4 linked regions of the Lepisosteus oculatus genome follow. The protein of the gene in region 2 interacts with the protein of the main gene of each other region in a pairwise test. Links are inferred from orthologs where the notes say so. Each region holds a gene or a part of one and is shown on either strand. Other genes may lie near its edges. The genes, in order: odad3, tfip11, sh2d4a and imp3.

Region 1 (7,872 bases), on a different chromosome or scaffold from region 2:
TGCTGCAAGGCCTGGCTCTCCTGCTGCAACCTGCTGTACTGCTCCTGCAGCTCCTCCAGGCGGCGCCGGCGAGTCTCGGTGCTGTGCTTCAGAGCATTTAGCCGTTTCATTTTGTCGCACACCTTCTGGTCCATGATCTGAATCGCTGCCTGGAGACCAAGCATAGACAGGAATAAGGTGAGATAACAGCTACCTAAGTGCGTTTCAAGAATTGTTTCAGCATAACCAGTTTATTCCTGAACAGAACAAAACTGAGGCTGCGACTGCAGTACAGCCCGACAGCCATATATTCCATTTCAGGTTTTATATGCATGTGTTACACAAGAAAGAAAATTAGTGAAAAAACAGACCTAGTCTTAAAATTATTTTTTTAGATTTTTTTTTAATGTATAATGAGGCGCATTGTCCTTAAAAGCTAGAGCTATGCAGGTTTAACAGGGAATTTTCTCTTAACTCCCAGTTACTCAGTGTGCCAGTGGCTTTCAGGCTATCTGGTCACCATACAGGAATTCCCTCACCTTCCCTGTCTTATTCCTCAGGGTGGCACTCTCTGCAATGCGGTTCCGGAAGGCATCCTTTATCACATGCTCATCTCCCTGCAGAACCAGACAGCACATTGCAGAAAGTTAGAAACTGTGTTATATCTCCTCTTCCATCATCCCCTCAATCCAGTATTCCCAATTACTGTTTCACCGGGTTCTCAGCTTCACATGGGCCTTGTTCAGAAATGCAGCTCTCTGCCAAATTCACTGAAAAATTATCTTTTTAACTGCCCTTCAAAAAATGGACCATGAGCTAGGAAACCACCCTATGCATCGCTGTCATTTGAACCTGACTTAAACCAAGTTCACAAAATAAAACTTCCTTTAAAACAATTAATTAAAGGGGGGTTGATGAACCCCAAGCTGGAACTTGAGAAGTAGATGTTTTGGAAGTATAAACTTGGTCTTCCAAAGAGATCCCAGCCTAGACTCCGACTGTCCCTGGTCTTCCAAGGCCCCAGTGTGCAAAGTTTATTAGCCCCAAGTCTAGATTTGTGAAGCACAGAACCAGAATGCGGATGTAAAATGATCCAATCTCTATTCCTGCCTCACATGAACTAGTCGGCAGGACCATTGTAGCACAGACACATGATGTCTGTTTGTGCTGCGAGGCAAGAGGCCAATGGCTTCTTATCCTAAACCATCTTACTGCTAAGGCTTCAGCCAACTTCTTATGTAGCCTCTTGTTCTCCTGACGGAGCTGCAGGATGGCTTCCTTGTTCTTCTTGATGGTCCACTGGGAGCTCTCATAGTAAGCGCTTCTGTCCCCCTCTGCGAGTCAGAAATGTCATACGTTAGACTCTCCACTCTTCCTCAATATCAAAACCATAAAAAAATCTACTGTAACACATACTGTTGCAGTAAATCACCACCAGGCTCTTTTGTGCTTTTATTAGAGCTATGCAGAATGGTTTTCCCCGCACAACGTGCTTTAAAAATGCAGTGTAGCTAGCAGACGTGTGGCAGCTTAGACACCGAAGTAGCTGGTATGAGAACAGAAACCACCTGTGTGGTTTTGGATGTTTCCACCATCCCCACCCCCACGGATGAACACGCATTGTACAGGCAATGCTGGAGAACAGAAAACAGTCAGCACCGATAAGATGCTGAGAAATAATGACTCTTCTGGGGTACAGAGAAATCGCGGAACGCTGATATTGTCAGGAGAGCGCAGATATTACAATAACCCGCCGGCATCTCGAACGCACAGGTGGTTGATTCATAATAAGATGTGCAAGGCGTCCTTCCCCAGAGCTGTCAAGTTGGTGATGCCCCCACTCCCTCCCATCATACTATGATCTCTCCTAACTTCTTCCTGTACCCACAAGGACTGTACTCCAACACCACTACACAACTATAGTTGTAATATTTATTAATCAAAAGTATTTTTGCACTGTTCCCCGAATTACCTTGCACTGTTTTTGTCCTGTTATATTTTCTCTGTTTGCGGATTTTGCACAGTTTTGATTACGTTATGGTAGTACACGTTACTGTTATTGTTATTGTGTTAGTCTATTGTCTTATCTTTTGTCCTGTTTATATACTGCACCTGACCGACTAATGAGAAACACTTTTCATTATACTATGCACCTGTGTAAGTATAATGACAATAAAGTTGAATTGAATTGAGTCTGGTGCGCAAATCTCCCACTTTCTGCGCGGCCCCCACCCAGCGTTAGCTGCAATGTTTTAGTTTAGTCATGCCCTATAAACTTTGAAGGCTCGTCCTTCCAAGCGACTGATATGGTCCACGTTTTATCATGACAAGTTCTTGCCAACTCTAACACTATCCTTACATAATCTACTATTTATGTACTACTTACTGTACAGTACGACTGTACAGTAAAAGTCGAGATAAAGCGCCTACAAAATCAACTTTAACTCACACCTTTGTTAAATTACGCGAAAGTTGCCGATTTTAAGTTAACACGTTTCTTTAAAATTGTATTTTATGCACCGTGGTGCGTACAATTAATTTAAACCAGACGAACTCAAGTTTCTAGCTAAGGGACTTTAAGGGACGCGTTTAACTGCTTCACTCAGATGACAGGCTAATATCAGTCCAACGTTAATGAAAAGAAATACCTACCAAGAAGCTGAATTTTCCTTTGGAGCTCCGATATCTGCTCGTGTAGAGGAGGCTTAATTGCGTCAGTATTAAACGAGAGAGGCATGTTTACCAGGTGCGCCTTGAATGTGAAAAAGATAATGTGAATAACCCTATGCCTGACGCCGATAACGTCGACCTAGCACCCAGAGCTTTCGGGTGCCACCGTTATTTCAGTGTGCTGCGCTGGCGCCGAGTTTCGGTAAAATGAATTTTTCCTCTTGTAAGGACTCGGGCCTTCTTCACACAGCTACCTAGGCTGGAGCTGTGAAACACTAGGAGCTTGTCTGGGTGCCCAGCAACAGCCATCCATCTCCATGGCCACAGTGGGAGATAAACAAATCACGTTGCCAGGAAAAAGTTCCACCGCAATGCATGCTGGGCGTTGTAGTTGAAGACGATCATGGCCGTGCACACTACTATCTCCTACACCGAGCATCTTTCAAAATACACCTCATTGCACTGCCATGATTCGCATCGCTGGTTCTTACTATCAGTGTTTCTAAGTCTCCTTACGTTACAACAGCTACCTATCTTGGAGAACTTCGTAATTGGAGCAGTTTCTTCCCGTTTGCATAACATTTCAACAACCTGCAGCTGGATTCCCTGCTCCCTGCGTTCAAAAGATTTAAACTTTAAATGTAACGTCATTAAAAGTTACAATACCCTTTAATGGATATTGTATCCTGCTGGATACAGACATTTTGACCAGCTGTGGGAGGGGCTAGGAACATGTGTTTTTTTATCCAATTAAAACATACGAGGGAGTCATGTGTTAAGGACTTAGGTCATGTGATTTCATCTGAGCATTCTGGGATAGACTTGTCACTCCTTTCTGAATCTGTTGTGATGGAAGATGGAGAAGGCTTCACTGACCATATGGTGAGTACCTGTATTTATTTTATACATAACACAAATTTTGGGGGGACATTTTTATAAGCTATTCATTTTTAAGCATGATATGACATGTTAATATGAAAAAAAAATGTGAATTATATTTGTACTGTTCTCCAAATCTGACATTAAATATCTGTATCCCCTGGGATACGTTGCCTAAATGGGGGTGTAAAACAGTCATTAATAGCACTATGTGTGCCTGTTCTTTTAAAGGCCATAAGTATTAGATATTAAATAACAACAACTGAAATGCTTTCATCACATAAAGGTGCTAACTATTACTATTTACTAACTATTTCAGGGAATTTCCACAAAGATATTTTATAGTAGGCCTAGGAGAGGGATTCAGCCACCTGTTGGCTCTTCAGATTCAGAGCAAGGGACAAGTGAGGAAGATGATGAAGCCTATGTAGATGCAGAAGGCCGAAGAGAAGATAGCAGCATTAGCAGTGAGGATAGCAGTAGTGACTGTAGCTGTAATGTTGAGGCAGCAGAAGGACACCTGTCCATACAAATTAAGAAATGTAGGTGATGTAAACCATTAAATAGGATATTGTTGATAAAGTAACACTATATACTGTGTGTTCATGTGGGTGTGTGCACTTACTGTACATGAATGTATGCATGTGGACTAGAACCCAGACAAAAATATTATGTCCAAGACTGCTAACTGACCATGAGAATGTGTACATGGAAGTAATACATGTTATTTATAGAATGTATAGTGAGCAAAAAAGGGGAGTGTGAGTGGTTTCCAATAAACCATTATATATTTCATTCCTTTCTAGGTGGAAAAAAAAAACGATTTTGAACACCAGTCAGCTGCAACACCAACATATTTCATGGCACAAGATGGAATCTTTTCTCCACCAACCTATTTTTCCAAATTCTTTAATAATGCGATTTTTGAGCTAATTGCTGATCAGACCAATCTGTACTCATGCCAACTGATTGGTGGAAGCATAAACACCAACATCAGTGAAATCAAAGCATTCATAGGTATCAAATTGTTCATGGGTGTAGCGAAAATGGCTGCAATGGAAGATTAATGGGCCAGTGATACAAAATATGACAAAATAGCAGATGTCATGCCAATTAAGTGCTTCAAATGTTTGTCCAGAATACTACACTTTCAAAATAACCTGGTCCCTGAGTCCCAAGAAGACCGGCTGGTGAAAATCAGGCCTGTGCTAGACCATATGAGAAAGAAATGCTCTCAAATTAAAAGTGAAAATCAGTTCTCGATTGATGAAATGATGGTGCCTTACAAAGGTCGAAAAGCTGGAAGTCTGCGCCAGTACCTACCTGCCAAACCCAAGAAATGTGCGCGCTGGGGTATCTGGTTTTGTGCATGACTTCTTCATCTACACAGGGAAGTCTACATTTGCTTGTGCTACACAAATTCCACTCAAAGAGTTTGGTTTAGGGGTCAATGTAGTTTTGCATCTTTGCAAAACCATCAGGAACGCCCCTGACTGTGTGGTCTATTTGACAACTTCTTCACATCTCTCAGCTTGCTAACCTATTTGAAGGATTCTATGGGCCTCAGAAGTTTGGGAACCATTAGAAAATCACTTGATGGGCTGAAAACTGGAAGATGATCAAGAACTACTGAAAAGAGGAAGAGGTAGTTTTGACTACCGAGTTGACAACGATGCACAGCTTGCAATAGTCAAATGGGCTGACAGCAAAACAGTCACCTTGGTGAGCACATGTGCTTCTGTGATGCCTGTAGGTTAAATGAAGCGCTTCTCAAAGAAGGGAAGACAGATATCTGTCCCATGTCCACAGATCGTGGCAGAATACAACCATCACATGGGAGGTGTGGACTTGACTGACATGATGATTGCATTATATCGCACTCCAGCCAAGTCCCATCGGTGGTACCTTTGCATATTCTGGCAACTGATAGGCATTGCTGTCGGTAATGCATGGTTGCTTTATCAGCATGACGCAACAGCAATTGGTCCAGTAAAGCTGAAGAAACTGAAGGCCTTCAGGCTAGATGTTGCCAAAGGTCTCATCTATCCAGAAAAACAAAAAAGAGCCCGGCTTTCCCTAGGAAATGAGAATGATGCAGCCGTGAGGGTTGTCAAGCAGCCAAAGGTCCCACAGCCTATAGATGAAATGCGCTATGATGGAAACAGCCACTACCCAATTCTGTCTGTGAAAGGGAGATGCAGGATGTGCCCTAATGGACCATCATGTGTGAGAAGTGTAATGTGAGGCTTTGCATTGTCACTGGACAAAATGCATGCAACTGCTTTCATCTTCGATGAAATTGATGAAATACTTTTGAACATAAGGACAGGTTCATAGTACCAGTAAAACAATGAACTGTTGCAATTTTGGGCCCAAATGAATTGGGGTTTTTGTAAGACTTTACTTTTTTAACATTAGAGTAACTTGTAAGTTTTAAGTTTTAACACCAGTTGTAATTTTTTAAACACCAAAGCAAGTAGGGATAAGGGTGTATTGTATGTTTGGCATTCCTTTTTTAATGAAACATAAAAATTAGTGAGTTTTAATGGTTTTATGGTTCTTTTGACTATGGGAGCAGTTGCCAAAAACAGTTCAGATGTATACCCCAAATGGGCACTGTATCCTGTGGGATACAGTTTGTAAAATGGAAAATAAACACACAGTTTTGAAAAAAAAAACTTATGAAATTGTGTTATTTGAGACAAAATCCACTAGAAAAGAACAAGTAAAACATTTTCAGTTAAGTTTTTTGGTACTTGCCAATTAAAGGGTTAACTCTGGTAGCTTTAGCTCCTATTAATGTTATGCTTAGATGGTAATTAAGACTACAATGATAGCAGGGTCAAAATTCCTGCCTAAGCCAGAGATGAAGAAGCCATCAGTTGCTACTATAAAAAACCAAATCAGCCCTGTTGGTGTGGTTAGAGATACCACATGGCGTTGTACTCTCACACAAACCATCAGCTTTTGTACCGATAACGCTTCTCGAAGTCTCACAGACCCCGAGAGGACCACACCTTTCTGGCAACCCTCTGCCGCCAGTCCCTTCTCGCTGCCGACACCGCTCTGCCTGGAGAGGGGGCAAGTGAGCAACGCTTCGACTGGACCGAGAAATGCACAAATGAAAAATGCCTTTAGTTAATCACACACAGCCCCAAGTTTACAGAAGCCACCGCAACGTCTGTACGAGTCTGGGTAGCCCATACTCTCAAGCACCTTGAAATTTCATTCTTTCTCAGAGTTGCTCCCAGACTGATATTCACCAAACTTAAGTTTTGTTAATTGCCTTGAAGCACGTCGGCTAAGCTATCTATAAGCATCACTATCATTTTTCCCAGACGTTTTTAGAGTTTCAGCAGTCGTTGTATGTTATACATATCTTTCAGTGGATACCTACCATGACCAGTAGTTCAGATCTGCCACTGATCAGACCGAGAACCACCTGTTCCCAGTCAGTACTGGATCAGGAGGTTCCGTGGCAATCGGATCTATACATCGATACTCATCAAATACATTGCCACTTTTAAAGAAAACAATGCAAGATTCCAAAAGTAAACTTAATAAAGGTGTTGTATCCCAATGACCTATAAATGTCAACAGACATTTATTATTCTGCTTACTCCTTGGTTTAAGTCAAACCTCAGAGCAACTTCAAAATCTCATTCAGTCTCCAGGCAAGTGGCATGACTAAAAGAGGAGCCTGAAATTAATATGCAGTCCAAGCATACTTCCAAAATTGGATTAAACACATGGCAACTTTAATGCATCTCAAAACAAATGGATTGTACAATGCCATACCCAACATACGGACTACCACTTGGGTGTCTGTGCATTCGTACAGCAACACCGTGAACCCCTAAAACCGCAGATTGCGTAGTCTACATTCATATTCTTCATCTCGCATAATGGGTTAAAAAATAAAGTAACAAAAATCTGCAAAGGCAGTTTAACATCAGACAGCATTTCTCTTCCCACTCCCCCCCCCCCCCCCCTCTTCTCCTTGCTCGGTGGTCCACAAGTCCACCTCCAAGAATAGAAATCCAAAAGCACTTGTTCTTCTCCCTAATAGACTGTACAGACATGAGTGCCAGTGAAAAACTCTGTAGGGTAAGCTCTCCGAATCCCTACACACCACCAAGCTACTGAGGCACACAGGCTCATATTGTGACCTTTTAGAACGGACATGTTAATATGTTTACCTTTAAACAGGCTTTTTCTACAGAATCCTTGTTTTTTTCAGGTCAAACAAGGGGACGATCATCTTCATTATCACTTAGGCTGGCCTCAGGTTTCCCTTAGCTTACCTTGACATTAGTTGCGAATAAATACCAGCATAACATCTCA
Region 2 (8,401 bases):
CTGAGCAGGGGATGGACCACGGCAGCAGCGAGGTCAGCGAGGCCGAGCATCTTGTACTCCTGATAGTAGTCGGACTGCAGCTTCTCGAAGATATGCGCACACTCCTCCAGCGTGAGCGGCCCATCCTGGCCCTGGCCCTCCTCGCTTTTCTCAACCAGCTCGAGCACGTGCTCCAGCCGCCCCAGGGCAACACGCTCCTGCTTCAGTGTCTCCTCTAGGGCGGCGCTCTCATGAGACAGAGACACCACCATGTCCCGCTCGTGCTGAAGCCTTCGTGCGCTCTGAGAGAGAGTGAGAACTTCAACACAGCTGTCTGCTGCCTGTGCGCAGTCCTCGTCAGCCACTACCACTACACTGCATGATACAGCATGCTGGCTGGCTGAGGCACATGTTTCACACAAGTGATTACATAGCCTAAGGGCGGAGAGAGAGGGTAGTTCCAGCTACAGGGACAAGGCGGGACGCAGAGGGTAGTTGCAGTGAAAGGCATGAAGAAAGAGGGCGTTACAGACATATGGACTGACCTGTAGAATATCCTGCTCCGTGAGGTCAATCAGCAGCTGCAAGTTGTGCTCCAGCTCAGGAAGTGCGAAGCCAGGACTCCGCTGGTCCTTGGGGGCGGCACCAAGGGACGGCTCCTCTGGAACACTGTGCTTCTGGCTCATCTGACTGTAGCTGTAATAGACCTTCTGCTCACGGCCTGTCATATCAATCACCTGCAACACAGCCCAGGGGACAGACTGATACACTTTCAAAACACAGCAGAAAACTGTAAAGAATACTTTAATTTATTTTAGACAATTTGTCATAGACCTATGCTATAACTTACCTCAAAACTAGACTAGATTACTATGACTACATAACTCAGCATAATGGTGATAATTCCAGAACACTAGCAAAGAATACTGCTCTTGTATCTGGTGTGATAAAACATGCAATCGAAACACTAGATTAAACGCAGTGTCTATATCTCCCTGCACACCTTGACCTGGGCCAGCTCCGCAGGGGGCGCAGTCATGCTCTTGCCCACCGCCTGCCCCCGGGCCTTCAGCTCGTCCACCGTTCGGTACGAGTATTTGGGCTTCTTCTTCCCAGCCCCTGGGTCTCTGCGCCACTGGCCCAGCTCCCGCTGGAAGTCCTGCGGGAAGAGAGGAGATTCTGAACGGGCAGCTGGGCTCCCTGCCTGGCCAGCGGGGGAGAAGTGAGAGGCAGCGGCTCTCGGGCGAACGTGAGACTGGAGTTTCACACGTGACTCAGAAGGGCAGACAGCAACGGGAATTTATTCCACACCTCAGTTAAAGCTGCTGCACAAATGTAAAGATGCAAACCAGCAAGACACAACACATGAATGAAAAAAATGAATAAATGTGCTGTGGCTTTGTACATTTGTATGAATGTGATTCAGCAGAACTAAAAGTGCAGCAAACACCTTTAAAAAAGGACCTGAGCGCTGGCTGCCTTTTACCAGAAAGGAGTAAAAGCTTCACAGAGGTAATCCCGAGGCACACAACCAGAGACTGTTGGGTGCACATTAACAGGCCAGATCCGGAGCCCCACTCACCTTTTCCTCCTCTTCCTCAGAATCCACGATGGGGAAGTCCTGCAGGGACTGCTGGGTCCTCTCTGTGCCATAAGCTCCCACTGCCCCCTTGCCCTTGCGCACCTTAGCCTCAATGGGGTTCACAATACCTGGGCAAAGACATAGCATCTGGCACTGAGGAGCAGCACTGGCAAAAAAAACTCAGTAATGACAGACAACAATGGGCACACAGTCACACTGTCAGGACACTGAAACAAGCACACAGATCCCACAGATCTCTCATCATTACCCTGTGCATTCTTGCCCAGCCCTTTGCCTGGCACGTAGCCCATCTTCTGCAGCAGTTTCTGCCCAATTCCACGGGTGTGTTTCTCCCAGGTGCCCAGGTCCTGCCCACCACGAGTGCCACTGCCAAATGCCCTCTGGGAGCTCTTAAAGTTCCCCCCCTGGTGTGCAAACAGAGAGAAGGCAGACACACAGGGGAAACAGAACCACATCAGTGTGCTGTATTACCCCGGTGGCAACAGCCCACTCTGTATGCATAGCTGTACCTGCAGCAGGTGCGAAGAATGAGTAAGGGACAGAGAAAAGAAAACTCCAGCCACCGGAGCACAAGCAACTGAACTGAAGGCCATATTGTGAAGAGAGGACACTGCAGCGAGCCGTCAAGCAGGATTTACAGAAGAAACGGGAGGTTCTTCCCCCCCAGCCCCTGACCTCAACCCTTTCTCACCGTCTGCAGCCTTCTGGGCGCTGACTCCCGGGGGGGCGCCTGGGGAGGGTCTGCCTCTGGTTCTGAGTCGTCAGATCCCTCCTGTTCTCTCTCCTCGGCCGCGCTCTTCCGGAGCCCCGCGCTCACGAAGCTGACAGGTGCAGTGTAGTCCCTGGACCTGGACACAGAGCAAACCATGTAGGAAACTGCCCCAGATATAAAACATTATACCCACTTTAATAAGGCTGTGAGATTTTCCTGAAGCAATTTTAATAATCCCCCTCTCTGAACTGGCTTCATCACGCTGCTCTCCTCCCCACTGAGAGCTGCTGTGTGGTGAGCAGACTGGTGCAGCCTCCAGGTGAGGCTGCACACTGCTGGTGGTGGAGGAGGTAAAGAGCTTTGAGTGTAGTGTCCAGAAAAGGACTATAGAAGAGTAAGAATTATTATTACTCTACAATACAGAGGATACTTAAGGTTTTTATTTTTTTTTATGATCTGAATGCACTACAGCCCTCGGGTTTGCACTGAATTCACAAACTCCACTCTCTTACACTGACACCCAGATTCAAGCAAACTGGCAGACAGGGGCACGGCGCACCTCTTCCCACCAAAGCTGGGTCGCTCGTCATCGGAGTCGCGCTCGGCCCACACGCCGTATGTCGCCTCCTCTTTGGTCTGGCGGTGCCGGCGCCGGTCGGGGTTGAACTCGTTCTCTAAGTCCCAATCCGTCACCTCGAAGCGCTCGACCTCCACACCCTCCTCCTCCTCCTCGCCCCCCCTCCCGTACAGGTGGGACAGAGACATCCTCTGGGCGGCGCTCGGACTGGCACACTGCGGTCTGCAAGGGAAGGCAGGACCGTGAATGTATTTTTGCTGCTTATAGAAAGATATCTTCACCGTGATAGGAGATCGTTAAAGGATATCCTGTCAGATATTCTGGGATTTAACAGGCACCGAGAATCCAGATCGGGCAAAAAAAAATCGTGTAGTTTTTCAGGTTCTGCTCGGTCGGGTTCCGTTCTGTGGCCCAACGTCCAACACCAGAGTGCGGTCCCGACCAGGGGCGCCCAGCGCATCCGGCACGTCACAGCTCATTTTCAAAATAAATTAACCAGCCGGCAAGTAAGGCGTTTCCCGATTAGGAGACAGAAAACTGGACTCCTTTACCTCGATGGATGACGATTAAACACTCAGCAAACACCAACCTGCTTCCCTGCCGAGTATTTTCGTGGGGAAATTGCCGGACTTCGCTCGAAAACTAAATCTCGCCTTAACCCGAGAAGCGTAAACAGAGCGACTTCCCTCCACTTCCTGAGAGTGCACAGTCTACACCCGTCCCCTAGAAACGTAGACTAAAATTGTCTAGAAAAATAGTCGCCGAATCTGTGCATATACCAAATAATCAGAGTGGAATGTTTTAAATAAATAATGTGCATGGTGATATATGCAAGCCTTGTGACTTCTTGTTTCCTTCTGTTCGTATGATCTGACTCCTACCGGACCCCTCACAGTCGGAACTTTTGTCACGCGTCATAGTTTCCGCCAGGGTCTTTGTAAGGCCGTACGCGCAGTCAGAAGTGCAAGGTGGTGTGTGTTTGGTTGAGGGGGTGGGATCAGTCCAGTGGGCTCTGTGTTCAGCCGGGAGGACCGGTTTCATCTGACAGCTCTGAGGTTCTCTGGTAGCTGAGTGACGCTAAGATCAGAGTGAGCACTGGGAGGGTGGTGGCTGCATTTTACTACTGTTTTTGACACGTTGCATTTATTCTTGATAGAAGAGTGAAAAAGAGCGTACGGCTCTTCGTAAGGTTTGTTCTGTTCGGAGCGAGGAGGGACTTTTTGAGTCAGCGCTCCACACAGACGGTACCGGGGACTGTTCTGAGCTCACGGTTAGGGTTATGTACATCTATACCGTCTCCGTTACGTTAATGCGCTGTGGAGGATCTTGACAATATTTTCAGAGTAGTGCAACACGGAAAACGTGAAATTACGTCAATTAACGGAGCGCTTAAGTTGGACAAAAGCCAGCGCAGGTCCGACCCTAGTCTTCCCTCTCGGCAAGGTCACAGAGCCGTGATCGCAACCGCTGCGCGGAGCCCGGCGGTGCTGACATTGTATCCTGGTCTCCTAGGATCCCAGCTTTCCCAGAGGGATGGCGGGCGGCAGCGGGGAATGGCAGAAGGTACAGCGGAAGAAGGGGAAAAGCCGGCCCAGGCGGTGGGGAGGACAGGGACAGCAGGGTAACTGTGTCCTGGACGATGCACCGGACACTCGGCAGCTCCGAGAGAGGATCACCGCAGCCATGTGAGTCTCTCACCGCGCCGGGCAGTTCTAGGAGGTATGGCTTAGGCCATCAGAGAGCGTTCCAGCGTGTCGGACAGGCGCCTGCAGGAGAGGCTGAGCTGAGCGCCGTGTTGCCTGTGTAGACCCTGATGACACAAGCACCTCCGATGTGGTAGCGTCGCCTTGTGCATGTTATAACACTGTACCCGACACTGCCTCTTCCTCCTTCTTTCAGCTCTGCTCTGTTGGGGCGATGGGCGATAGCAGTGATGCCAAAGTCCTCAGTAGACTCAGCAGTTCTTCCCATGTGAACACTGAAGGCTAAATTTTTCTCTGTGTATTTCAGGAAAGAGCTGAGGATTGAGGATTTCTGGCAGGTGTGGAGAGGTGAGCTAGTCTTCAGGAGTGGACTCCCAGCCAGCTGTGTGCTGGATAATCCTCTTGTTGGCATGTACCCGTACAAAACAAATCAGAGGGCACAAGTGTAAACTACGTAGAACTGCATTTGAAACCAAGACCAGACAGCACATCCTCACCTAAAAGGTTGTGAGAGTCTGGAACAAGCTGCCCAAATCAATATCTTGGCTTCCACCAAGAACTGTCCAGAGATCCTTGGATCAATAAAGCTACTATCCACCAATCAGGCCAGATGGGCCAAGTGGCCTTATTTTGTTTGTAATCATTCTTACATTCTTATGTCCCACAGTCACAGCTGTTCAGATTAATCAGCCATTAGGTTATGGAGGTGAAGTCATCTCTTCTAAAATTGATCACCTTCCTGTTTTTCATCCTAATGTGAACATTACAGAATACTAGTTTAAGAAATGCTTTAAGCTGTTTAAATGTTTCAGTTTGTTTTTTGTCAAAACTGCAAGTTGTTTTCTGCCTTTGTGTAAAAGTGTGGGAACTCAGTGTGGTGGAGCGTGCTTTCTGATTGTGCAGTAGAGTAGAACCCTGATGAATAATGTCCTGTGTCACTCGCCAGGAATCGGTGCTTATTCATTCAGAGGCATCCTTCCTCACAGACCTGGTGTTGGGCTCAGCTGTGTTCTGCCTTCTTTCTTCAGAGCTGCTTGTAAACAGCCTGGCCAGCGATCCCCCAGCTGAGCTGGGCAGCGGCAGCTCTCCTTCCCAGGACAAGGAGAGTGCGTGCTCTTCACACCCAAAGCGCGAGGGCGCTGTCTGTGCCGCGTCGGAGCTGGACTGCGTGTGTTACGGGCTAGGCAACTTCTCCTCCTGCGTCTCCTCCCGCTACCAGCTGGCTCTGCTGCTGCTGCTCCTAGAGAGCCTGCAGGTACCTGCAGCTCCGTGAGCGTCACTACGTCTCTTGAGGTGCTGGATGATGGACGCGATCTGTAACAGGAGGTTAAAGAATTTAAGATGTTAAGGAAATGATCATGTCCTGACACCAGCTTGCCCAGAAGGCAAATTTCTCAGATACCTGTAGTGAGAATGACAGGTGGCCACATGGTATCTTTCTTATTAGCACAGTTTAATGGAAGCAAAATCATCAAAAGTCTTAAACGAGAAACACTTATTAATGACATTGAATTACAAGCTGTTATATAAGGTTTTTACAGAGCCTGCGAATCCCTGAGTCCAGGCTGTCTCACTTCCTCAGGGAGGTGGGTGTCCTAACGCAGAGCCAGGAGACAGTGCAGACAGTCTGCTTCGGGAGGCCATTAAACTGCCCAGCAGGCAGCTGCTGCAGGTCAGGAGAGGAGAGGAAGCTGTGATGGGCAAACCTCTCAGCCGTTGAGCTGGTCGTTCCAGCTGGGAACTCTGCTCTTCGCGCACATCTTGCACAGGTCTCTGCCTTTTCCTGCCTCCCCGCCTAGGAGGAGTTTTGGGTTGGTGTGCAAGTCTGAACCAGACCAGGAACAGGCTCAGCAGCTCTGCGAAACCCGTATCGGTGAAATGGTAACCCAGATTATCCTTAACTGGGCGTTGCATTTGTTGATTATTAAAACCCAGTATATGTTTTGAAATGAAATCTGAAGACAGGGCAGTGGTTTGCAGAACACATGAATGTTTGGGGGAGACACTGTCTTGCCCCAGTATTGACACCATCTTGCCCAAGGTGCCGCCCCAGCGCTGCTGTGTGTATGACCCGGTGTTCTCGGCGGCAGAGACCAAAGTTCTGCAGGCCCTGGGGCTCACTGTGCTCACGGAGAACGAGGTGAGAGGAATCGCAGTGAGAAGACAGCTGCTGCAGCCTGCAGGCTGAGTGCTGAAGCGGATATTAGTGTAGAGGACTTGCAGCCAGGATGTTCTCGTTTTAGGCCCCTGACTCTATCGCTGGTTCATGGGAGCTGCTGAACATCTCTGGGCTTTTTACTTCAGATAAGATGTTATATTTAGGGGCGGTATGGTGGCACAGTGATCAGAATTGCGGCCCTGGGTTCAGTTCTGGACCCGAGGTGCTGTCTGTGTAGAGTTTGTATGTTCTACCCATGTTTGCGTGGGTTTCCCCCAGGTGCTCCCACAGTCCAAAGACATGCTGGTGGGTCAATTGTCTTCTGGGAAAACTGGCAGTGGTGTGAGTGCCTGCAGTGGGCTGGTGTCCCATCCAGTGTGTTATCCTGCCTTGTGCCGTTGCTTGCCGGGATCGGCTCCGGCTGCCCTGCAACCCTGAATTGGATAAACCGGTTATTGAATGTGAATGAGCATTAGTGACTGCAGCAGGAGCAGTCATTCACTTGCTTAGTCTCTCTGCCTCAGAGAGCCTGTAACCAACATCATCAACTGAACCCCAGTTCTTCTGTTCAGTAATTGTCTGCAGGCAGAATTGCTTTGTGTTATTTTCCTGGGTGCTGTTCTGAATTGTCGTCTGTTGTGCTTTGTTGCTGCTGCTCAGGAGGGGAAGCGGCTTGTGTGCAGACCCACCCTCTTCTACCTGATTCACTGTGGAAAAGCACTGTATAACAACCTGCTGTGGAGAAACTGGAGCACTGACAGCCTGCCCCTGCTTACCATAGTCGGAAACAGTTTCTGTGGCATTCAGGAGAGGTGAGGCAGTTCCATGACCATCATGGTGTTGTTCTTTTCTTTACACAAAGGATTGTGGGAGTATGGAACAAGCCATATCACCTTGACATACTGGTGTTGGTGGAGGGGTCCCCATTACCATTACGCTTTGAGTGCAGTGTCCAGAAAAGTGCTGTAGAAGGATTGTTTATTGTTGTTTATTATGTGCCCAAACTGTTCTGAAGCCAAAACCCCTGGTTCTACCAGGAAACACCTGGATGAGATCTGATAAATTAACTACCAGTTACCAAAGGGGCTAGATGGGCCAAGTGGCCTTATATTATTTGTAAGTCTTCCTTATATTCTTTCCTCTCTTTTGAATTTTAGTCGCATGAAGCACCCTGATAGATCTGTAGCCTGAGAGTGTGGAGAGATTAGAGCAAGCAGCTCATGGCAGTAAGAGTTGGTATCGATGTTTGTTTTGCAGCACGCTGGAAAGAGTCCTCAAGAGAGATTATACCTACATCCGGGACGTATCCTTTCCTGTGTCCTCACCTCTGGACACCCGTCCTGCCCTCACTGTTGTGGACAAGAGCCGGAAACTGGGGCTGCCAGTATTACCAGTGAAATTTAGAATCAATTCTAAAACAGCATGGCTTGCATACGATGACTTGATGATGTGCTCTGTCTCTGAGAGTGCTGGACGTTCTGCTGAGATCAGTGGGGCAGTTGGACCTGCCCAGTGTGCTTTGGCATGAGGCTGTTTCTGGGCCTTCTGCTTCTATTTTGTTAAAAAGAATGTAAAAATATTCTGCTTTTGTTCAGTTTTATTTCCTAAATGTTTTAATTCCTGATTGAATGGTGAATGAAACCTGGTTACAATTTCAAGTTCCTTTTCA
Region 3 (8,159 bases), on a different chromosome or scaffold from region 2:
TATTTTACAAGCAAGGATATTGTTACAAATGGGGAGATACAAAAATTGTGAATTTCAGGAATTGACAGGGTGGTTTACTCAATAAGTAAAACAATTATTCATAACTCCCAACATACAAGTGATTTTTCCAGGATGTACCCAAGCAGTTGGTTTAATTAGGGGCACATGAATTCTTACTCTTTTCACCAAAGCTGTGCAAGAGAATAATAATTTAGGTACCCTTGATTAAACAAATATTTATTAATAATGACAATACAAACACCATGCTACATACAACAAAACATACAATGTATTTACAGTATGTAAAGACAAGGCGTTTCAGTGGCCTAATATCCTATTCACCAGGAAAAACCCATACTTCAACTAAGTATTAAAATTTGAATGCCTACAGGGGCCAAATAAGAGATAAGCTGCCTTCTAAATAAATGCAATACAACCAGTTAAACCTCTCTCTCTCTGCAAAACCCAGTTGCCACAAAATAATTAGAGATTGTAGGTGTCATCGAATAAGGTAGTTAACACATTGCATTCAACTTAATCCACACAGGAGGGGATCTATAAAGTACAATTCTCAACTGAATTATGCAATGACCAAGAGAAAGAAGATTCTACGGTCTGAAAAGACCACAATTGACCCCTTTAGTCTTAACACTTAACACAATGTTTGGCACAAGCGTAACACCACACATCATCCTGAGAAGCGTTTTCCCTGCTGTGAAGCATGGTGGTGGCAGCTTCACTGTGTTAGTGTTTGGAATACTTGTGAAGACATGACGCAGAGTGGAAGTAGCAAAGCACAGAAAAAAAACCTTCTGCAGTCTGCAACAGACCAGAGACTTGGGAGACTTGCAAAGAAAAATTGACAGAAATTGATGTCCAGGGGTGGAAAGATGGTGGAGATTTAATCCAAGAAGACTCCCGGCTGTGATTTCTGCCAAATGTGCCTCTCTCAAATATTGACTTAAGGGAGGTGAATACTTATGCAATCAGTTATTTTCCGTTTTATTTTTATCATTAATTTAGGAGGATCAACAGAATTTGGGTTTCACTTTGACATACAGTGTTTAGTGTCAATGGCAAAAGATCCCAGTTAAATACATTATGATTCCACATGGTAACAAATCAAAATGTGAAAAAGTCCAAGTGCTGTAAACAGTTTTGATCGCAACTGTAAAAACTTTGAAGTCAAGGAAAACTTCTGGGGTTAAAAAAGAATCACCTTTGATGAGTTGTATCTCATGAATGGATGTCAGCCAGGCCAAATATTTACATTCTAGGTATTTCCCTAAAAGACAAAACAAGCATGGAAAGCTGAACTAAAATCAAAGCAGGTTGAGGTTATGGTAATTTAATATTGAATACTACAAATACAAATGCAAAAGTGCACAAATTGAGCTTCTTAAACTGCTTCACAATTGGCTCCACTAGCCCATATTCATTATGAAACAATTAAACAACAGGGAAAAACCAATACAGTGTATTAACCAATATTAAAATAATATGAAATAACTATGCCTGTCAAGACTTCATAAATGATTTAATGAGTCATTCTCCAAATATTTCCATTCCAATGGGAAATTTTAAATGATTTCAAAACATAACCATGCTTATACCTCTCCATTCAGAGGCAAAATACATTTGTTTTTCCTGGTAGAATATGACCTTGACATGAAAGTCCATTCAGCAACTAGATAATGAAAGCAAGAAACTGTTACAGTCGTTCAAGCTGTGCGAGTAGATTGGTACCCTTCTGTTGTTTCTTCATTTAAAATGTAGATTCTGCTCAAAGACTGTATAATTATATTGGTTGCCCTGACTCCAGATATTACAAGGGCACATTATGTGCGCTCCAGGATGCATTTTCTATGGAAAACAGTTAAATAATATAAAATTATTTGGAGATCATGTAACAGAATTTAATATAATACTAACAGCTTTATGTGAACTCTTTAAGAGTTACCACACTTCCTGTGACCTCAAGCTGGTTCTGTAAATTCACATTTTGTTTGCTTTTTATTTAACTAGATGCCTAGATTTCCATCTTTAACACTTACAATTTTAGAACGCTGGAAACTAATTTCTTTGTAGCAAAAAGATTTAAAAAGTGGGCCTAAGCTTCCCCTTATGTCTGCTGTGCATTTAGGCAAAGACTGCATTTCGCTTTAAAATGATTTGATCCCCAAAATATAAACGAAGTACAACAAGGAAGTGCTGAATGGGTTAACCCCATGTGGAAATCTAGCCGTGCAAATATTTAAAAGCTAAAATAAGATAAAGATAATCCCGTGGAAAATTTTATTTGAATTTAAAAAAATCTAAAAAATACACGTTGAAATACGACGTATCCAACTGCATGGGCTAAAAAAACCTTTGAACATACAATTGGGCTTCGAGACACTACCAATAACACACAAACACAACAAATCTGAACACAATAGGCTACGTCACAAGTCTGAAAGAATCCCGTGTTCAATCACTGGCTTTCATTTCAATCATTATTATGAGATTTTAATGTTTGCGCATTCAATAGTAAAGTAACTTTTATGCGTTTCTTTTGGTCATGCTGTGAGGACACGACGTTGGAGTAAAGAATTAATGGCAAATGCTTGCTTCTTTGCCAAAACGGTCCAGGACTCTCAAAACAGCTTTAGCAGAAAGGAAATAAATATATTACTCAAATATTGTGTTAGAAGCCTTTTTTCTTAATGTATAAGAAACAATCCTTCCTATGCCAAACTACTTAGACTACAATGCTAGTTAGAATCGATACGCCCAAAATACTCGAATAATCAACAAATTACGTTTGCCCGCATAGCCAGAAGTCTGTTGTGCAGTAAAGGATACGTCAATATAAAGGATTTATGCAATTTAGTGATAGCCCGACACAGTGAAAAAGATTAGAATAATCTCGTTGGTTTTTCTTTGCATTGAAATGAATTCATTCATTGCTTTGCATTGAGATTTTCGTTGGAAATGGAAAGTACTTTCATTTACTAAAAATGGTTTACAAAAAAGACATTTTCAGAGACAGAAAGAACTCCCCATGAAAAATTGTAACTACTCTAAAAACATTGATAAATGTCACACAACGCTGCTCCATACTAAGAAAATAAAACGAGATGAAAAGAAAAACCTTACCATGAGTTCAAACCACTCCCGTCCCTTGCACTTTTCTCCCTTTTAAAGATAACTTCACGTCACCAAGAAACCTGACTTTTAACTTTCCGGCAATGTGTCTTCAACGTCTCGTGACATTTCTGTACGCCATATACCATGAAGCAATTTCGTTTTATCTTTCTTTGTCCGTTTGTTTTGTCGTACACGTCACATCCAACGCCCAATGCCGAAAGTAAGCTTCAACCCAAGAACACCTCTGTTCCAGGTATTACGAAAGGCTGCAGCTAAATCTCTGTTTATGGTTTCCCCCCGCCTTCTTATTGATCTGTTACATGAACAGATTGCAAATTTAATTGATTTTTTTAAATACAAAATTGCGTATAAACAGTATTTAATAGCTACCTATTAAGAATGATCAAAAGTACAGCAGTAGTTTTGTAATTGTAGTATTTTCTTTTGGGACGTACACATTACAAAGGTTAACTCTCAACACAAATGATGCATTCAGAATGTCTCTTCAAAGCTAACATTTACAGAGTAATATATTATGTTTCCTGTGCCGAGATGCAGATATAGGTGTAAAAATGATAACTGTAGGGTTTTTGAAATCCGAGGCTAGTAATTCACAGATTTTCCCACTTTCACTTTTGTATGTTTGTGTGAACATGTGTTTGTGTTGTGTACACATAGTATCACAGACTCCCATGAAATTTAACCCTACATATGTACTAAGCACACAATTTCTAACTATTAGATCAGGTACTGCATGCCTGGCAGGAGGCAGTTGGTACTAGTGCCTTACAGCCTTTAAGTTGCAACAAAGGTGCAGATATTGTTGTTAAACATTAATATAAAAGTGAGAAAATCTGTTACTTTTCCTCTACTTCAAAGTGACTTTTGTTTGAAGTGACTAAGACATAAAAGGATTTAGATTTGGTCCCAGGTAAAGCTGTAAGTAAAGGAAAACAGTCAAAGTTACCTTTAACCTAGACAATGCTGGGCATGTGTTCCTTGTCAACAGTGAATGGAAAGCAATGCTGCTACAAACCCGAGTCTCTTCACGAACATATTATCATTAAAGCTGCAGTTGTGTACTAACATTTAAATAGCAACACTAAACTAGCAGACCTGAGACACAAGCTATGCTCTGTGTAAACTAACCATGTTTATGATTCTAAACACAAAAACATTGTAAACAGAACCATATCAGGTTAGGTAAAACTAAAATAATCTAGTAATAAAAGCAAAACAATTATTTGCCATGTCCTCCACTAAATATTGAACTTTGTAACAGTGAGGCAACTTAAATGACAGCAAAGTTATTAGTTGTTATTAAAGTTGTTAAAACAAGAAAACACATGTTAAAAGGATATTGAATAATAACCAAATAACTAAAACAGTTCCTATAAAGTGAAACAAAACAACAACAGAACTATAGTGTATCACACTACATGCAAAACAAACAAAAACGTTAGGACATAAAAATGTTACAACAATACAAAACTTGTTAAAACATAACAAAAGTACCAATTATAAACATGTTGTAATCGGAATGAGAAAAATCAGAACCCACGATCAGTCCAGTTTCCTTCTTTCTGGGGTATCAAGCCGGTCACTGGTTGGCCCTTTTCAACCAGGTTCCCTAAAGGGTACCCTCATGTGAAGCCAAATCACCACAGGCAGCTAGCTGGCCACCACAAGAGCTGGCCTGGTTTTCTTAAGCAGCACTGGGTTACCGGGAGTGATGCTCCTCTGGCCCAAATCAGTGCCCACTAGCTCCAGGTGAGCTCCCAGATGAGTTGACACTGTCCAATCTTGTAGCTGAGAAGTGATAAACGGTAGTGAGGCCATTGTTATCTGGAGACAAGATGTGTTTCGTGTCCTGCCTGCGTTCCTGCTGCTGTGAGACAGGTGGCTCAGAAATGACATCCGGGCTCCCCAATATCTGGCAGAGCTTGTCTGAGGACACAGAGCGACTCTGTGTGCTGTCTGTGTCTCTGATGCCAACAGGTGTAGGAGGTGAGACAGGCAGATGGTTGGTACTGCAGACAGACGTGCATTCTTGGAGAGGCATATCATCATTGGTCTGGGGCAAAAAAAACACTGTGCCTGCTGTAGCCTCAGAGCAGTTGCCCTCCTCTTAATGGGCTCTTCAGTCTCAGGCATATCGTGGAAGCCAGGTGGAGGTGCACGAAGCCAAGATTCAGTTTCAAGTCTGGTTCCTTCAGTTGTAGAGGGCTGTTGCTGTGGAGCTGGTGGCTGTGTGGCAGTCTCTGTCTCGAGTGGTAGAACGTTGTTTGCTGGCTTCTGTGCAGTAGAACATTCCACAGCGGACGGTTCTAGCCCTGACACTTGATCATCCAAAGAAAACACAGACTGGTGTTTTCCAGTGTTAACCCAGTCTCCTGCAAGACTTGTCTTTCCTTTCCTGTTTAGAGAGCAACTCACTCTCCCCTCTTTCTGCACAGTCTTTTTTACAGTATAGCATCCCATCACTATACTGGGGCATTTGGACCCACACAGACAGGAGGGTGAGAACCTCCTGCTGGCCCCACTAACACTTCCTGCAGAAACCTTATTTTGTCCCAGGAGGTCTCCCGTCCAAGTTCTGACCAGGATCACACCTGCTGAGCTTCAGTGGGTTGCTAGATGTGAGTTACAGCATGATATGGCTGCTGGCATATTAAGACAAAAGCAATGCTACCTTGTTTTTACAGGCTCTATTCTTTAATTTGTTTTGATTTTTCAATAACCATAGTAAATACACTCATACACAAATGTTCTCAAGACCACGTTTTTTATTTGATATGACACAGCACTTAAAAAAAATTAAAAATACCATTCCCCACCAATTCCTCAACAAGGTTCTACATACTGTATAAACCCCTAAATTACAGTCTAAGCTAAAAAAATTAAGGTGCTGCTGGAAGACATGTTAGTGGGACCAGTAGGGAGCGCTGTCCTGCAGTCTGTGTGGTTCCTAATTTCTCAGTATAGTGTTCACTAAGGAATTATTTATGTATTACAGTCAAACATCTACAAACATCTACCCCACATAATATGGCTTTGACTGCTTCAGCAGCTACCCCAACTCCCACCTAACTACCTTTCACTGGTATCACAGATCTTCATCCATCTACAGAACCAGTCTATCACAGAGCAGACAGACACAAACACAAACATGTACACACTCACATCAAGAACACTTTTCCCAGAGGCCAATTAACATACCAGTATGTCTTTGCACTGTGGTAGAAAACCCAGGACAAACTCATTCGAACACAAGCAGAACACAAAAACTCCATGCAGATAGCACCCCATGAATTGAACCCAGGGCCCCAGTGCCACCACTGCGCCACCATGCCACCCCTCATGGATCTTAGGTTCCAGAGGAATAATATCAAAAATGAACAGATCTTCAAGGAAAAATATTAACTACTTTTGAACACAAGATGGCGCTCATAGTATACCATACTCAGATACCGGCCTGACGAAGATAGTTCATTCATCACCAAGGTAAATTAAAGATGATTGCTTCCTGCAATTGTTAAATAAATATCCTGTATAATCTCCTTTACCACAGTTAACAATAGATTTATTTACCCTTCACAGTTGGACGTATCCAGACAAACTAAACTGAGAGGCATTCAAAGCATAGCATATTAGTTTTGTAACCAGTTTTTGTAATGCATTTTTAAAATCTCAACCATTTTTAATGCGGCTCAGTACAGTCTATGTTATGGTTTCGTACTTTGATTAGTTTAAATCACGTTAACTCTCAGGATACCTAAAATGTAAATGGCCTTTAAGCATTGCTAAACTGTATTGAAAAAGTAATACGAGTGTTTGTTCTGTTCACTTAAAAACCGTTTTTGTGCGTTAGATGCAAAAATGTAATTTGTACTGAAATGCAGAAGTATGACAGCTGAATAGAATGTCATTGAATGTTTGCAGGGAGAGCAAACTTTCAGCATGAATTCAGTGATCTCTGATTTCAACAATGTGTAGGTGTCATGGGGTGACAAAAAAAGTGGTTGTACGACAGTGGGTTGGGGGGTATGTTTACTTTATGTAACAGCCAGTATTTCTGTCAGGGTTTGTTGTGTTTTTCTCCTTTGTCTCTGCTCCCCTCTCGTTATTCAGGGTCTCCAGTGACAAACAACATTCCAATTGAACGACACACTGTTTGGCTCGACACCCATCAATTACAACATGATCAGCGTCGACACATTGGATTGTGTGGGGACCCTGAGCAGGCTGAACCAGTCGTGGAACAGGGGAACAGACAGCAAACAGAAAGGACAAAGGAAGGAGGGACTGTTCCTCATGTAGTCCCCACTTGTTATGTCTGGTTTCTCCCCACGATCACCCAGACACTCCCTTCCTTCATTCTAGTCCTAAAGTTCTGGGGTAAATACAGCATTCATAGCACATGTGTCACCTTATCTTACAAGAAAACCATTGTTAGCTAAGGAGCCAGAGGATGTGTGTTGTCCTTCTGGATTAGTCTGCCAGGAGGGCAGCCTGTGAGGTCCCTGGGCTTGATAAGATAAGATAAGATCACTTTATCAGCCATATACAATTTCTTATATTAGGAATATAATACCTCAACTCCATGAGACACAGAAAGAGAGAGAAAGGTCAGAGCAAAGGGTCAGCCATTTATACAGCACCCCTGGAGCAGTTGGGGTTAAGGGCCTTGCTCAGGGGCCCAACAGAGTAGGATTCCTCTGCTAGCTATAGGATATGAACCGGCAACCTTCCAGCCACAGGTGCAGATCCTTAGCCACCGCACAATGATCAGTTGATCAGGACGTGCTGATGTAGTGTAATGCAGGCAGGTAGCCATTCTATACTTAAAGGCGAGTTCTGTAGTTCAGACCTCCCAATCAATTAGTCTGTTGCACACAACAGTTACCACAGCATTGTGCACATCTGTGCCACACTTGATGATGTCCATCAGGGTGGACATCAGGCAAAAGCCCAATACATTTCTAAAGAGGATTTGGTTCATGCGCAGCAAAGGAATTGTGCTCTTGACA
Region 4 (7,591 bases), on a different chromosome or scaffold from region 2:
GAAAAGTGTGAGGATTATTATTATGTGCTGGACTGCACTGGATCCTACGGGTGGAGCGGTGGTACTGTGGCTAAGGATCTGTGCCTGTAGCTGGTTTTGCCAGTTCAAATCCCGCGGCTGGCAGAGGAATCCTACTCCCTGGGGCCCTGAGCAAGGCCCTTAACCCCAACTGCTCCAGGGGTGCTGTATAAATGGCTGACCCTGTGCTCTGACTCCAAGCTTGGGGCAAGTTGGGGTATGTGCAAAGACAAATTCTTAATGCAAGAAATTGTATATGGCCAATAAAGTGATCTTATACTGTATCTTCCAGTTCTGCGAAAGGCTTCTGCAGTACAGCTCCCTCATCTCTTTCACACATCAGATTTCTGGGCAGCACATTGCTGAGTGTCACATTCCCACCAAAACGCAAATTCCTTCCATAACTTAATGAAATTTGACCCTAAAAACCTTTACCAGCCCCTAGCACATAAAAAACACATTCACATGGCCATTTTTATCTAGGATCATCTTTATGTGAATCTTTAAATGAGCTCAGAAGATTATGAATGTGTACACAGAAGGCTCTCTAAAACAGCCTATTAAAGCTGTAGCTGAACTGGGATGATTGAATTGTACAGGTCCTGCTTAAACGCTGACATGATTTTAAATTTTATCTGTATGAGAATGTCAGTGTTACAGGCTGAATTGCCACCAAACAAAAAGAGATGGCATTGTGATGACCCCCGCTCCATATTTCAAGGGTGATCTGTCGTTTCTGTCATTTTGCAGGCCACTGTGAGAACGTGTTTATGTTCTGACATGTAATGTTTCTTCCATTAGGTAGCCAGTACACCTTTAATTAGCACCTTCCTTAAACACGCTTTATTTCTTTGTGGTGATATTTTTGTCTTTCGAGCCTTGTTGGCCTCCCGGGAGTTTCACAGTGCCGTGATTGTATAGTTACTGTTTGTGTGGTTTCCGTCTCAGCCCTGCCTGTCCTGGGGGTGTGATCATACTGTAATACAGACATAGCTCTGCCCCTCCTGGCCAGCTCATCAGTAGGGAAAGAGGCTCAGTGTCTTTTCACACCATTGTGCATGGCTTCCTCTAGACCTGATAGCTGGTGTCACTTTCCACCACTGATGAAACACTGCCTTCCCAGGCATGGCTATTTTGTCATGATCACACACAGCCATTACAAAACAAACACTACCAAGCCAGACTCCACTGCTGCAGTGATATTGTATTATTGCTGTTAGGTCTTTTATTGTTCTTTTTTTAAGAATGCATTGTTATTGGAATGTGAGGCAGTAAGGTTACAGAGTACAAGGCAGTGTTGCACTGCAGTAACAGTGGGTGGGATAAGATCATTTTGTGGTCAATTTCTTGTAGTAGGAATTTGTCTTTTCCCAAACCCCGACTTGCTCTCCATAAGACACACAGACAGGGAGAGAAGCTGGGGGTCAGAGCGCAGGGTCAGCCATTTATATGGCACCCCCTGGAGCAGCTGGGGTTAAGGGCCTTGCTCAGGGGCCCAATGGAGTAGGATTGCTCTGCCGGCTGAGGGATACGAACCCGTAGCCTTCCAGCCACAGGCACAGAACCTTAGCCACAGAACGACCACACCAGATTCAGTATTTTCAATCAGATACTGCTGATCTCAATGTACATGTCGCCTTTCAAGGAGCCTAAACATACACATTAAAACAATTTCTCTACAACAGAGAACACTTCAGAATGTACAAAAAAGAACAACAAGAAGAAGAAAGAACATTTACAAAAGTTACATGACCTAGGCACACAAATGGTCAAGTTCAAGGTCAAGTTCACGTTTATTTGTCATTCCAGTCACATACAAGAATACACTGGAATGAAATATCGTTCCTCCTGGTCCACAGTGCAAATACAGGCAGGACAGACAGGATACACATAGTGGAAAGTGCAGATAGTGCAAATTACACAATATACACAACACACTGGGGGGATTTAAACCCTGTTTCTGGAATTGGGGTGGGTGCAAGTAGATTCCAGGGTGTTGAGGAGCCTGACAGCCTGCGGGAAGAAGCTGTTACAGAGCCTGGTTAAACTTGTCTATAGCTCAAGAGTACATGGGTAATGATCGAACAATAACAATGGTACCAGCTCTGAACTCGGCCTAGTCCGTTATCTCATCCCTACCCCTGACATTTAGGAGAAAGCCCATGAAACAAGGTGGCTTTTGCAGAGAAAGGGTCGGAGCATTACAAATGCAAGTAGGAAGGGAATTCCAGAGAGTAGGAGCAATGGAACTAAAAGAATGAGGTCCATTGTTACGATCATTACAATGCAATGCAGTATAGAAGAGCATAGTGCAATATAAGTGCAGAACTTCTTCGGTGTGGCGTGGCACTATAAAACAGTAATGTAGTATTATTTTAGTGGGGTTCAGTGTTATTGAACTGTGATATTATTGGAGTTCAGTATTATTGAACTGGCCTACTGTGATAATTTGAACTATTTGATCTGCTACAATGTTAGTGTTAGTGTTGGTGAACTAAATTAGCTGCTCTGTTTCATCATTAGGCATTAGGCACCATACATACCGAGTCTCTGTCTCTTCCACAGTATATAGTAAAGCCCCTGCATGTACCTCCGGGGTGTCAGAGCTCACAGCGTGGCCTTCATGTCCCTCATGCTGAAGCCAAGGTTTGGCGTGACAAGTTGAACCTGCTCTTCCACATTCCCAGAGGGTACAGTCTACAGAGTTTGTGATGAGCACCCCCCACCCCAGAGCATTTTCCTTCTGTTCTGTTTGGACAGGACAGGGCTGGAGCAGTTAGCGGTTTCTGCCTCACCCTCTGCCTAACAGTGTGCTTTGCCTTTCATGCCCTTTTGTCTTTGAGAAAGAGTAGACTTTTCACTTTGCTCAAGGAAGTCAGAAACCTCCACTGCCCTAATTACAGACCCCAATCTGAGAATCTGCCCCTTACAGTATCAGTACCATACAGACTGGAGCTGAGGAGTCCACTGTTGGTGTGGCTCTGAACTATGTGACTCTGGTAAGGGCATCCCCAAAGCTAACGGACCCTGGCCTCCTGGGCATGAATAGAGCTCACACAGCATGGACAGAAGACAGATTTTATTCTGAAAATGCCAGAAATGTAGAGTACAGCATCTCAGCTATGACTGTGGCTCAGCAGATTATCTGCCTGCCCGCTGCTGGTGCTACACAAGAGCTGAGATGCCAGTTTGTTTGCATCATAGAGCAGGGGTATCTGATCCTGGTCCTACAGGGCTGGTGTGGCTGCATGACTTCCAGGTCTGAAGATCTGGAAGTAATTGGGTTGTTAAGCCAATAACGAGCTGACTGACAGTGCCGGATTTCCCATTAGGCACTTTAGACACAGTGCCTAGGGCCTAAAAATTTTTTAGGGCCACGAAGGAGGGAAACACTAGTGACTAATGAAAAATGAGCTGAAACAACATGCTTGCGATCGGCTCTAGGTGCTCCAAATCAATAATCATGCGCTATTTAGCGGCTGTTCTAGAAACGAGAAGTATCGAAGTGATGGTTGCTCAACTCGCTCCATCAATCACAAGGTTTAGCATGAGAATAGATAGATAGATAATACTTTATTAATCCCGTAGGGAAATTGATAGTATAAATCAATTAGTTAAAATAGTTTAAAGTGCATCATGTCAATCGACGTAATTCAACTGGGGTTTACCCCTCTCTTTGCACAGTTTGGAGTGCAATAACCTAGGGCCTACGAACATCAAAATCCGTCCCTGCTGACTGACTTGGAATGAAAACCGCAGGCACACTGGCCCTCCAGGACTAGGACTGTCCTCCCCTGGCAGAACCCTTTGTTATTTGGACTCTTTACTCTTCCAGAGGTCTCAAACAGTTCCTGGAAGGCCAAGTGTCTTCTAGTTTGTGTTCCAACCATGTTCTCACATAGCTGGTCTGATTATTTAAGTAACTGTATACTTGTAATATCTCTAACCAGGCTCTGAGGCGATTTATAGGAAACTGTAACTGAAAGTGAAAGTCTTGTTTATTCCACTCTAAAAGGCCTCAAGAAACATCCTGTTACATCCTGAAACTGTTACATGTCTGATTCAGAAAATAATTGGGTCAATTACTTAATTGACTTCCCAGGTTGGAACAGAAACCAGAAGACACCAGGCCCTCTGAAAATGAGTGTGAGACACCTTTGCTCTTCTAAACACGTTTTCACTTAGACTTCCATACTGGGATCTCAGATGGTTTGGTGGTATTGAAATGGAATTTCCTGTTTGCATTCAGGGTCTATTTCTAAGTGAATACTGGAAGATTCGATGCAACGCTGTTTCTGAGGCACAAAAACAATTTCTTCTTCTGAAATGCGGTTAAACCTCCTAAAAGCACTTCTGCACATTTATACTTAACTCTTTAGCGAAGGCTGAAGCTACAGTGCAGACGCTCACGTGTCGCTGCTGGGGGTAGGTGACGTCAAAGCCCAGCGATTTCTGCTAGTGACGGAGAGCGCCGGAAAGAGGAACTTGGAGAGTTTGTTTAAGTTTTTGTGTCGTTTTGCAGTAATATAGAAAGATGGTGAGAAAGTTGAAGTTTCACGAGCAAAAGCTCTTGAAGAAAGTCGATTTTATCAACTGGGAAGTGGACAACAACTTACACGAGGTGAAGGTGTTGCGTAGATTCCACATCGAGAGGAGAGAAGACTATACCGTGTAAGGTTTCTCTGCTGATTCAAACTAAACACGCTGGGCTGTGCGCTTTACTGCACACGGGAACAGACATAAATTGCGCAAGCTCTTTGTTGCTTCTGCGGTTTCGAGAAATAGGAAAATATCTGCCCTTTTTTTACAAACAGATAACTTGTAGCATAAGTTGTTCTGTACGCATGTTTTTTGAAAGGGTATTACTTGCTAACGGAACCCTTTATGCGTGTTTGTTGTGAGACCCATGCTTAAGAGGCTCGTAGAAACGCTGAAACTACTGAAGCTTCACGTGAAATACGCTTTAAATTGTAAGTCTCATGCTCAGACGTGGGCGCCGCCATGACACTTTTCTCTTGCCGCGGGGTGCTACATCGGTTGTCTTTTTCTTCGTCACGCAAGCACTTTTACTTTTAATCAAGTTTAGAACCAACTAAAGTAGATGAAAGTGAAGTTGACAGTGGCATTGCCGTTTGCGTTTAGGATTCGTAGCCTTTTCTCCTGCTGTTTGTGTCGATGGGTTGGGGGACTTCGAATCCCAGCATGCTCCGCGGTCTGTTGCGCTGCAGGCTGCCTATATCCGAGCGCGTGCGTGGTTTTCCTCACTGCGGTGCGTATCATGGATCAGTACTTCTTCTGCAAAACCAGAAAAAGCTCTGAAATAATATACCTCCTTAACCGAAACTGCCTGGGGTTTACGGCTGGAATTGTCAATGTTTCACTTCTTCATTCCTGTTAAAAAGAGTTAAATTGGGCTTCCTTGCCTTTCAATCGCATCAGGTCTGATTTTAACTCCTTGGAACAGCTGCACCAGAACCGCACACGGACTCTGGACAGCAGTGTGTAAAGGCACTCAGAATACTGCCTGGGTCTCTCCAGGCCATCGCTATAAATGAGAAGCTTTTCTCATTAGAGCCATCTGCTTAAATAAAGCATTAAACAAACCGCTCCTGCGATCAGTCATAATCTCCATACTGTTATACTTCATTTCTCTGTGCCCCCCTTCACTATCCACCTCTCTCGCTGTCATTATTTTCCTGCCGGTATCAAATCAAAGTTTATTTATCAAATGCTCAACAATACAGCGTGCAGCAGTAGTTGCTGGTAATGAAATGTCTTTTCTGCAAGCTCACAAAAATCACAAAATAGAGGTTATGAAAATAAGGTTACATACTAATAGATGTAATAGAAATTGAATAATGAGTCGAGCTGCTATGTGTCCATGGTGTATGCAATAAATACAAGTAGTGCAGTTATGCTGAATACAGTGAAAACTGTGTCCATGTAGCCATTACAGGTGATTTGCTAAAGGATCTGCAGGTTGGCTGTTTAGCAGTCTTAAACGGTACCCCTGTTCTTCTCTCCTGTTTGCTGTTGGTCCTCCCTGTTCACCCCTTCTCCCCCCTCTCTGCCCGCCTCTCCCGACAGGTACAACAAGCTCAGCCGTGAGATCCGGCAGCTGGCCCAGAAGATCCGGGACCTGAACGAGAAGGACGGCTTCCGCGCACAGAACACCGCGCGGCTGCTGGAGAAGCTGTGAGTCGTGGGGCAGGGCTGTGTGCGCGTGTCGGACACGGAGGGAGGGAGAGGCATTCGGCAGCGTGGGCTGACCCGGTCGGCCAGGCAGTCGGTCCATCGGTACAGTGTTGGGAAAGGAATGGACAGGAACAAAGTCATGGATTTATCTCATAAAGATGTCAACTGTGGTTTACAGAAATGCATTGTGGGATGCTCAGAGGGTTAAAACCACTGTTTCTCATATAGTGTGACCTGTGTGATATTACAGGATTTTCAAGACCTTTAATACAGCTGAAGGGCTGATATGCCCATTTTTACATTAATAAAGCAGGTCCAGCTTCTTATGAAATCCATTCTATTTCAAAACTTCAGCATTTGTCTGAGCTTCTAGCGATGATTAGTGATTTAGTTTTCATAGGCAAAAGACTTTGTGCCACTCATTCATTCACACTGTTTAAATTAGAAACTGTGCTGTTTTTTGGGGAATGCACATCCACAAAACACCGTTCAGTTTCACAAATTAAATGGAAATGAGTTTCATAAGTGTAGCATCCTTATATATTGTGGTATCTCAATTTCTCTCCTCTAGCTACAGTACAAAAGTATGTAGTAATCTTGAAAAACGTCTGTCTTTTTTGGATTGTGTTCAAGCTTTGTTCTTAATCACAGGCTTCATTATTTCAACTTTCTTTTTGAGGCTTTTTTTAAAATTTCTTGTAGAACTTAAAACATTTAATAGGTGTCAAGCCTGTGCTAATCAGTCCAGGACTGCCCTCATTCAGGTGTGTAAGGTGAATTATATGAAATATAGCCAATTGGGCTGAAGTAAAAGGAAGATCACAGACTCACTGTGGGAGGTGTCTGATACAGGGCCATTCTCTCCTGTCTCTGTTCATCGCTTTGATCACTTACTAATAGTCGTTTAGTCAGAAATAGGGGAGCAAGTGAGTCTGCGAGCCGAGGAGAGACTCGATTAAATTCTGTGGGCTGATGTTTTTGGAAATAATGTGCTTTAACTGAGGCCTCTCTGAAACCAAGAGGCGAGTGCTGAAACAAGCAGATCAGTTACAGGCAGCAGTTAGCTCTGCTGATTAAGGGCCCAGTTGGAATGAAAACCAGCAGACTCAGGGGTACTTCTGAGAGCCCCTGCTCTGAGCCCTCCGCAGTATGCACTTCTGCTGGCGTCTTTCCTCGTGCTTCTTCAGTGAAGCCCTGCTGCTCTCCAAACACGTTTTAATGTGCACAGTGGTGATTTTAAAGCAGTGGTGCTGGTCACGGCCTCCCTCCACTCACAGTGGCCAAGCCAGTGCAGGTGTGATGATTCACAACTACCCAGGTAGGGATCTACATGCTATAATATTCTCTCTCCTGCATATTTGACACTTTCTGTCAGTTT

The links.
Region 1: the proteins of tfip11 (region 2) and odad3 interact in binary tests that used the Homo sapiens proteins (3 or more experiments, as listed by UniProt). The two-hybrid records come from large-scale screens. The link is inferred for Lepisosteus oculatus from reciprocal best matches to the Homo sapiens genes TFIP11 and ODAD3.
Region 3: the proteins of tfip11 (region 2) and sh2d4a interact in binary tests that used the Homo sapiens proteins (3 or more experiments, as listed by UniProt). The two-hybrid records come from large-scale screens. The link is inferred for Lepisosteus oculatus from reciprocal best matches to the Homo sapiens genes TFIP11 and SH2D4A.
Region 4: the proteins of tfip11 (region 2) and imp3 interact in binary tests that used the Homo sapiens proteins (3 or more experiments, as listed by UniProt). The two-hybrid records come from large-scale screens. The link is inferred for Lepisosteus oculatus from reciprocal best matches to the Homo sapiens genes TFIP11 and IMP3.

The regions. Positions count from the first base shown.
Region 1 is NC_090706.1:17,752,012-17,759,883, forward strand, and holds the start of odad3 (coiled-coil domain-containing protein 151), read right to left. Parts: upstream 3,257-7,872; 5' UTR 2,717-3,256; coding exon 2,632-2,716; intron 1,314-2,631; coding exon 1,192-1,313; intron 597-1,191; coding exon 519-596; intron 150-518; coding exon 1-149. UniProt on the Homo sapiens protein: Component of the outer dynein arm-docking complex (ODA-DC) that mediates outer dynein arms (ODA) binding onto the doublet microtubule. Involved in mediating assembly of both ODAs and their axonemal docking complex onto ciliary microtubules.
Region 2 is NC_090717.1:14,664,531-14,672,931, reverse strand, and holds the start of tfip11 (tuftelin-interacting protein 11), read right to left. Parts: upstream 3,577-8,401; 5' UTR 3,423-3,576; intron 3,094-3,422; 5' UTR 3,060-3,093; coding exon 2,854-3,059; intron 2,431-2,853; coding exon 2,274-2,430; intron 1,987-2,273; coding exon 1,830-1,986; intron 1,690-1,829; coding exon 1,562-1,689; intron 1,139-1,561; coding exon 983-1,138; intron 717-982; coding exon 525-716; intron 282-524; coding exon 1-281. Other genes in the region: srrd (SRR1-like protein), read left to right, coding at 4,405-4,556, 4,882-4,922, 5,603-5,829, 6,616-6,714, 7,393-7,544, 7,990-8,035. UniProt on the Homo sapiens protein: Involved in pre-mRNA splicing, specifically in spliceosome disassembly during late-stage splicing events. Intron turnover seems to proceed through reactions in two lariat-intron associated complexes termed Intron Large (IL) and Intron Small (IS).
Region 3 is NC_090698.1:26,585,624-26,593,782, forward strand, and holds the start of sh2d4a (SH2 domain-containing protein 4A), read right to left. Parts: upstream 3,373-8,159; 5' UTR 3,139-3,372; intron 1,286-3,138; 5' UTR 1,220-1,285; intron 1-1,219. UniProt on the Homo sapiens protein: Inhibits estrogen-induced cell proliferation by competing with PLCG for binding to ESR1, blocking the effect of estrogen on PLCG and repressing estrogen-induced proliferation. May play a role in T-cell development and function.
Region 4 is NC_090704.1:31,045,925-31,053,515, forward strand, and holds the start of imp3 (U3 small nucleolar ribonucleoprotein protein IMP3), read left to right. Parts: upstream 1-4,444; 5' UTR 4,445-4,552; coding exon 4,553-4,689; intron 4,690-6,105; coding exon 6,106-6,213; intron 6,214-7,591. UniProt on the Homo sapiens protein: Component of the 60-80S U3 small nucleolar ribonucleoprotein (U3 snoRNP). Required for the early cleavages during pre-18S ribosomal RNA processing. Part of the small subunit (SSU) processome, first precursor of the small eukaryotic ribosomal subunit.